2 linked regions of the Callithrix jacchus genome follow. The protein of the gene in region 2 purifies or fractionates together with the protein of the main gene of each other region. This does not show direct contact. Links are inferred from orthologs where the notes say so. Each region holds a gene or a part of one and is shown on either strand. Other genes may lie near its edges. The genes, in order: DLG4 and KCNJ4.

The links.
Region 1: the proteins of KCNJ4 (region 2) and DLG4 purify together in Homo sapiens (affinity purification with western blotting, with the first as the bait; 3 studies listed by BioGRID). This does not show direct contact. The link is inferred for Callithrix jacchus from reciprocal best matches to the Homo sapiens genes KCNJ4 and DLG4.

Annotation. Positions count from the first base shown.
Region 1 is NC_133506.1:73,683,312-73,686,330, reverse strand, and holds part of DLG4 (disks large homolog 4), read left to right. Parts: intron 1-499; coding exon 500-676; intron 677-968; coding exon 969-1,005; intron 1,006-1,099; coding exon 1,100-1,127; intron 1,128-1,256; coding exon 1,257-1,304; intron 1,305-1,388; coding exon 1,389-1,490; intron 1,491-1,856; coding exon 1,857-2,029; intron 2,030-2,969; coding exon 2,970-3,019. UniProt on the Homo sapiens protein: Postsynaptic scaffolding protein that plays a critical role in synaptogenesis and synaptic plasticity by providing a platform for the postsynaptic clustering of crucial synaptic proteins.
Region 2 is NC_133502.1:209,372,599-209,376,905, forward strand, and holds the start of KCNJ4 (inward rectifier potassium channel 4), read right to left. Parts: upstream 3,029-4,307; 5' UTR 3,005-3,028; intron 1,456-3,004; exon of another isoform or gene 1,328-1,455; intron 1-1,327. UniProt on the Homo sapiens protein: Inward rectifier potassium channels are characterized by a greater tendency to allow potassium to flow into the cell rather than out of it.

The sequences.
Region 1 (3,019 bases), on a different chromosome or scaffold from region 2:
GGGAATGTCTTCTGGTTGTCAGACTCTCAGGAGGCCTGGGGTCTCTTCCCTCCTCTCCAGGTCCATTGCTTTCCTCTGGATCTTCATTCCTTCTTTAGTTTCTGATGCCAGGAGTTGTGACTTATAGGGATTTGATACTAGTAAGGGTAACCATGATTTGCAGACACGGGACCTTTCTTTTTCTTATTAATTTGGACAGATTCAAGGTTACCCCTGTGACTTTATGATGCGCACATGTACTGCAAACTGTTTTCTTGAGAGGGTGGAGTTCCAGCTCTCCCTCTGGAAACTGTACTCAGTGTGGGCTGAATGATGGTTAATAGTTGTGGTGGTTACGATTACAGTCAGCGTTTGGTCCCCACACAGTTTTGGGTTACTCAGCACCCATTGTGGCCATGGGAGTGCCATCCACAGATCTCTGGGCTGGGTCTCAGGGTGACTGATGCAACCTTCCTGGGGTCCTCAGCCGGGCTCTGACCAGTAGCCACTTGCCCCCCAGGGCCCTGTTTGATTACGACAAGACCAAGGACTGCGGCTTCCTAAGCCAGGCCCTGAGCTTCCGCTTTGGAGACGTGCTGCATGTCATCGATGCTAGCGATGAGGAGTGGTGGCAGGCACGGCGGGTCCACTCTGACAGTGAGACCGATGACATTGGCTTCATCCCCAGCAAACGGCGGTGAGGCTCTGGGCTCTGTAGCCTTCCTGCCACAGGCACTGAAATTCCCAAGGTCCCTCGGGGTGGACAGCCATCGGGGATGTGTTTGCCCTCTGACCTCCTAGGGGTTTGTCTGTTGGGACCTCCTGGGGACTGTGGCTCCCATGAGCCTTTGGGAAGGACAGCTCCTCATTGAGGAGCACAGGGCCCAGGGCCATGGGAGAAGGGATTATTAGCCAGCCTGGAGCCTGGGGGCAGCAGGGTTCCTCACTGGGCATTTTCCTATCTGCCTTTCCCTCCATGTATCCCACAGGGTTGAGCGACGAGAGTGGTCAAGGTTAAAGGCCAAGGTAGGTGGAGGAGGGGTGAGCCTGGGTGGAAGCCTGAGGGCTCATGGAGCTGAGCTCATAGCTAACCTCGTGGCCGCCTGCTTTTTCTTCCTAGGACTGGGGCTCCAGCTCTGGATCACAGGGTAGGTAGGGTCAGTTCGGGAGGATGTGGGTGAGAGGCACACTGAGCTGCCTTTGATATCCTCAAGGGGGAGACAGGGCCCTAGGTCCCCTGTTTCAGAGCCCCTTGCAGATGCGCCACCTCCTGACAGGTCGAGAAGACTCGGTTCTGAGCTACGAGACAGTGACGCAGATGGAAGGTGAGCCCTGGCCCCTGCCTTGGCCCCCACTCCTGCTGCTGCTCCAACTTAGTCCTTGGCCTAAGCCAGGCTCTGTCTCCGCAGTGCACTATGCTCGCCCCATCATCATCCTTGGGCCCACCAAGGACCGCGCCAATGATGATCTTCTCTCCGAGTTCCCCGACAAGTTTGGATCCTGTGTTCCCCGTGAGTGCTGGGGCCTTGGATGGAGGTGGAGGTGGAAGTGGGGGTGGGGTGGAGGAGGCCCATCCCTGCAGCCTGTAGGCAGAGCCCCCTGGGGGGTTGGTGTGCAGGGGGACACAGGGTTTCTCTGAGAAGGAGTGCTTCTCAGCCACCCTCACATTCCCCAGTACCCATGCCCAGACCAGAGACTTGGAGGCCCTGGAGGGTGCTGGGGGAAGCGGTCCTGCCCCTCTGCAGTCTTGGTCTCTCTGGCAGTGCCCTTTCACCAAATGACCAGCTGGGCACTATGGGGATTTGATTGATGGAGGATGGTTTTAAGCTAGAGGAATGGGGGATAGATCTTTGGGGGGTGGGGTGACTTCCTGGCAGATACAACACGGCCCAAGCGGGAGTATGAGATAGATGGCCGGGATTACCACTTTGTGTCGTCCCGGGAGAAAATGGAGAAGGACATTCAGGCACACAAGTTCATTGAGGCCGGCCAGTACAACAGCCACCTCTATGGGACCAGCGTCCAGTCCGTGCGAGAGGTGGCAGAGCAGGTAGGACCTGGCGGGCACCTGGTCCTCTTCCTCCTCCCCTCTCCCCACCCCATTGCCTCCCTCCAGCTCTCTCTAACTCTCTCTCTCTCTGTCTCTTTCCCTGCTGGGTCTCGACTCCACTCCTCCACCTCCTTCTCCTCTTGGGCAACTCTGTCTGACCGCCTGCTCTCTGCCCCTGCTCTCTCTCCCACCTGCCTTGCTTCCTGACCCCAAACTCCCCACCACCATCTGGCCTCTTTCTCTCCCCACTCCCTCCTCCTTGCCCCATTTCTCCTCTTCCTGTGGCCTTGTTTTTGGTGGCTTGGCCTTCCCCACTGGGTCCCTCCCTTTTCCCTGACTCCCCTCTGGCCCTTTCCCCTGCCTCACCCTTTCCTGGGGCCCCACTCCCCTCTCCCACTCCTCTGCTAACTCCTTTCCCTTCCCCGATGCTCCCCACCCTGCCCTCCCTCCCTCCACGGCTCCTCTCTCCATCTGCCTCCCTCCCTCCCATCTGTCTCCTTGTTCCTTCCATCTGTCTGTCCTTTGACCGTCCTCCCCTCCCTCCTCCCTCTATCCTACTTCCTTTCTCTTTTTTCTTGGCTTTCCTTCCTGCCTGTGTCACCTCTGCCTTGTGCACACTGCCCCATTCGCTGCTGCCCTGGCTCTGACAACCTCTCTTGGGTCCCTGCCTGCTTGGTGCTCCTCCCCTTCTCCATCTTATCCTGTCCCTGCCCTCTCCCCATGCTCTTTGTCTTCCCTATCCTTTCTCTTTCTGTCTTTTACTCTGTCCATACTCCCTTCCCGCCTGACTCTCTGCCCCCATGTTTCTTGACATCCATGTCACTCCCCCTTGGCCAACCTCCCATTCCCCACCTCTCCCTGTCCTGTGTCTCTCCAACACTGCTGTCTGTCCTTTCCTGCCACCCGCTGGCCCCCCTCCGCCCACCCTGCCTGCCCCCAGGGGAAGCACTGCATCCTCGATGTCTCGGCCAATGCCGTGCGGCGGCTGCA
Region 2 (4,307 bases):
AGCGGGTGGGTGAGAGCGGGTCAGTCTGGGGTCCCACGGAGTCAGGCCCCTCCCCTTGGCGGTCCTCGTACTCTCCCGAAGTACCGCTAGTTAAGGACCCAAAGCACCCCACTCTGGGAGGCCGAGGTGGCCCTACTGGAGGGAGCCTTATGATTACCCAGTCACCACTGCCCCATTTTATAGACGGCAAGACTCAGTACCAGAGAAGGTCAGAAACTCGGCCAAGGTCACCCAGAGATGACAGAGCCGGACCAAACCCTAGTCTCCTGTTCTCCGTCGTTCTCCATAACCCTGAGCTGTCAGGCCTGGGCCCCACACTCTGGGTTGTCAGGGAACCCCCAGCGCCCACGGCTCGGGTTGAGCCAGCTACTTCCTGGCCATCCTGCCACTTCACTCTAGCCCTCTGAGGAGACCGGAGGGAAAGTGCTCCTGCCTCGAGGGTAGTGAGAGGAGAGAACACCTGCAGTTAGACAGCCAGAAGAACTTCCCTGGGAGTCTGGCTATCACTGACTAGACCCAGTGCAGAGAGGAAGAGACTGAGGCACCCCAAAGCCAGGTGGAGAACCTATGAAATCTGAAATCCCTCTGACTCTTCTGAGCCCCAAGGATGTCAGCATAAGAACAGCAACACACAAACCACCGTAAGTGTTTCTCTTCCTTGTGGGCTCGCCCTACACAAAAGGATCCAGTCCCAGCTCCTCAGTGTGGTATAGCCAGGTCCCACCTTAGCCGGCATCCGACATCCCATAAACCAACAGGTACACCCTGATTCCACAGATTCCAGAACACGCCACAGGCCTCTGCACCTCTCTGCCTGCACTCACTGTTCCCCCCTGCCTGAAATGCGCCTAGCACCTTCTTTGCCCTGAGACTCCTTGCTGTTTCCCAAGCCCGGCCTCAGTGCCACTTCCTTGAGAAAGCCACTTGATGACCCCAGCAGAAGTCATTCATTACCCACTCGTTCATTCAGCCAGCGCTAGGCACCCACGACGTACGAGCCCCTGGGCTGGGCACAAGTATGGTTCTTGCTTAGTGGGCTGAGGAGTCAGGCTAAACTAGGCTCAAAAGCACCTGAGAGCTACTTGACCTTGAACATGTTTTTAATTTAGCCTGTCTGTAGATTGAGGACCCTGACGTCCCCCATTCCCCAGAGGCAGATTAAATGAGGTGGATGCCCACAAAATGAGCAGTTCATGGTAGGCGCTCAATACATGTGACCGTCCTTTCTCAGGGATCTTTCTGTGCGGACCTCCACAGCGCACGTCCTGTTCCACGCCTCTCCCTGGTTACTCTGCTGTGTCCTCACAGGCAGACAGCTAGGACTGATGTTCCATCACATGAACGCTCAGTGCGTGGATGCAGGAGAGATTCAAGCAGCCTGAGTGCCCAGTCGGCAACAGATGTGTGCCTGGTCTTTCTCACCCTTTTGCATGGATTGAAAGTGGGAGGATGAAGGTGAGACAAATGACCTGCTTGGCCACAGGCCTGACCTGGTAGCTGTCCTGGGAGTGTGGGGTGCAGGGGGTGGAGGAAGGAGCAGAAAGGAGGGGAACATGGATACAGGGATGTCTGTAGATCCAAAGCATCTTCTCTCACAGGATCAGCCCCCTGATGCCAGGTCCCTAGGCACAAAGTTGAAGATGGGATGGGGGCTCTGGGGCAAGGAGGGTCACCTTTCCAGGCCTGGGCTGTGCCCTGAGGCAGCTGCTCATCCTGCAAGAAGACTGGATTGGGAGGAGGTGGGGAGAGGCAACCAGAGGAGCTCCAGGCAGGGAGAGGTTCAGAGACCCCAGGAAAGAGTCCTTTCTCTCCTCTCCCGCCCTGCGTGACCCTGGGCAGCCCACCTCTCCTTTCTCGGCCTTTGTTTCCTCATATGTCAAGTGGAAAACATAACACCTATTTTGAATATCTGTGTGTGTTTGTTTTTAGTTTGGTTTTTAGATAGGGTCTGGCTCTGTCACCCAGGTTGGAGTGCAGTGCTGCCATCTCTGCTCACTGCAACCTCCGCCTCCCCGGCTTAAACCATCCTCCCACCTCAGCCTCCCGAGTAGCTGGGACCACAGATGTGCGCCACCATGCCCAGCAAATTTTTGTAGAGATGGGGTTTTGTTATGTTGTCCAGGCTGGTCTCAAACTCTTGAGCTCAAGCAATCCGCCTGCCTTTGGCCTCCCAAAGTGCTAGGATTACAGGTGTGAGCCACTGGACCTGGTGGAGCAGCTGTTTTGAGGATAATCAGAGACTAAAGGAAGACTCCACATTGTTCACCTTATGTGAGAGTAGCTTCTAGCCCTGTGTGAGGTGGGGGGTGGAGATGGAAATGGGCATGCAGAGGCCTGGGAGGAATGTGAGGGGGTTGGGGAAAGGCATGGATGTCAGAACCTGTGTGTCCCTGGGAAAGATTCATGTCCTCTCTGGACCTCAGAGGCCTCATCTGTAATGGGACAGTGTGGACTGGGTCTCCCAATGGGCCTTGTCAAGATCCAGCACAGATTCGTCTCCCCGCCATGGAGTGAGGACAACCTGAATCTCCCTCTCTCATGCCCCCAGCTCAGCACTATCCAGACATTGACAGGCATTGTCTCCTTTCATTCTTGCAAGAATGCTGTGCTACAGGCACCTACTACCAATGGGGTAACTGAGGCATGGGGAGTCATGGGATGGGTGGCATGATTGGGGTGGCTGGAAGCAATGGTCTGGAGAAGAGAGGCTCACTCTGAAGTTTAGAGGGGAATGCTGGTGAAGCCTCTGTCCGTCCATACACTTTGGCAATGTGTCCTGCCCATCTCCTCTCTGTTCTCTCCCTTGATCCTCACAAGAGCTCTATGGGGTATGGGCTATGCGTGTCTTTACCCCACAGGTGAGGACCCTGAACTAACACTCAGAGAGGGGAAGGGCTTGTCTGGGGTCAATCAGGCAGTAAGCAGCTGTCTGGGCCAGGATTTGAACCAGGCTCAGCTCTCACTTTCTAGGGGAAAGGTCATTCCAGGCTAGCAGAGTACTCACCAACCAGCTCACTCTGGGGGACTTCTCATGCCTTCTGGGTCCGACAGCAGCCCTGAGAGCCCATGTGGAGGGCGGAGAGGAGCGGAAGGGAGGGCGACTTGGGACTGGCAGGTGGACAGCTGAGGAGGAAAAGGAAAAGGCCACTTCAAAATGCTAGAGTCACAGAGTCCAGAGGTTTTTGGCCTAGAGAGTGTCTTAAAGTCCAGCCAGGGCTGGGTGTGGTGGCTCATGCCTGTAATCCCAGCACTTTGGGAGGCGGAGGTGGGCAGATCACTTATCGCTTGCGGCCAGGAATTTGAGGCCAGCCTGGCTAACATGGTGAAAACCTGTCTCTACTAAAAATACAAAAATTAGCCAGACATTGTGGCGCACACCTGTAATCCCAGCTACTCAGAGGCTGAGGCAGGAGAATCACTTGAATCTGGGAGGAGGTGGACGTTGCAGTGTGCCAAGATCTTGCCACTGTGCTCCAGCCTGGGCTACAGAGCAAGATTCTGTCTCAAAAAAAGAAAAAAGTCCAGCCAGCCCATTCTGCAGATGAGGCAAACTGAGGAAGTCCAACTGCTTAGATTAGAAATCAGATCAGGACACACCCTTGGAGCTCTAAAATCCCAGCAGCTCCCAGGTGGTAAGGTCCAGAGGCAATTAAAGGGTCACTGGGAGGGCAGAGGGCCAGAATCCATCCCAGCAGGCTGTGCCCTGGGGACAGAGGACTGTAGGGGTCTCTCCTGCCCTCCACCTCCACCCTCGCCCACCCCCCAGCACTCAGTAGTCACCAGGGTGGAATATTTTAGCACCTATAGAAAAACCGCCACAGACGGCCGTGGCAGCTGTTGCTAAGGAGACGCTCCCAAAATAGCCCCCCTCCGCCAACCTTTCCCGCTGCTGCTCCTGCTGTGGGGAGGGGAGGAGACCAGGCAGGGAGGGGGTGGCACATGAGTCCTCGCCCCAGGTTCACCCACCCACCCTGGCCCCTGGTGCCCACTCTGGCCCAAGACACAGGTCTATGGAAGGGCAGGAGCTGTCCCATGCGTGCCTGTGACCTCAGCCACAGTCCTCAGCTGGGGAAGAAGGTCACTCAGGTGATAGGAGATGGGGGAGAAAAAGCCCCCACACCCAGGACCCCTCAGCACACTCCCACACATACACGATCACAGGTTCTCCTAGTTCTCTACATCCACTTGTGCACACCACAAGTACAATCCCACGCATGCCCACCGAGGGGCATGCACACATCAGCAAAGACATTAGATGCACGGGTAAACATGTGTCACAAGTACACATCCACCTGCCAACAAATGCC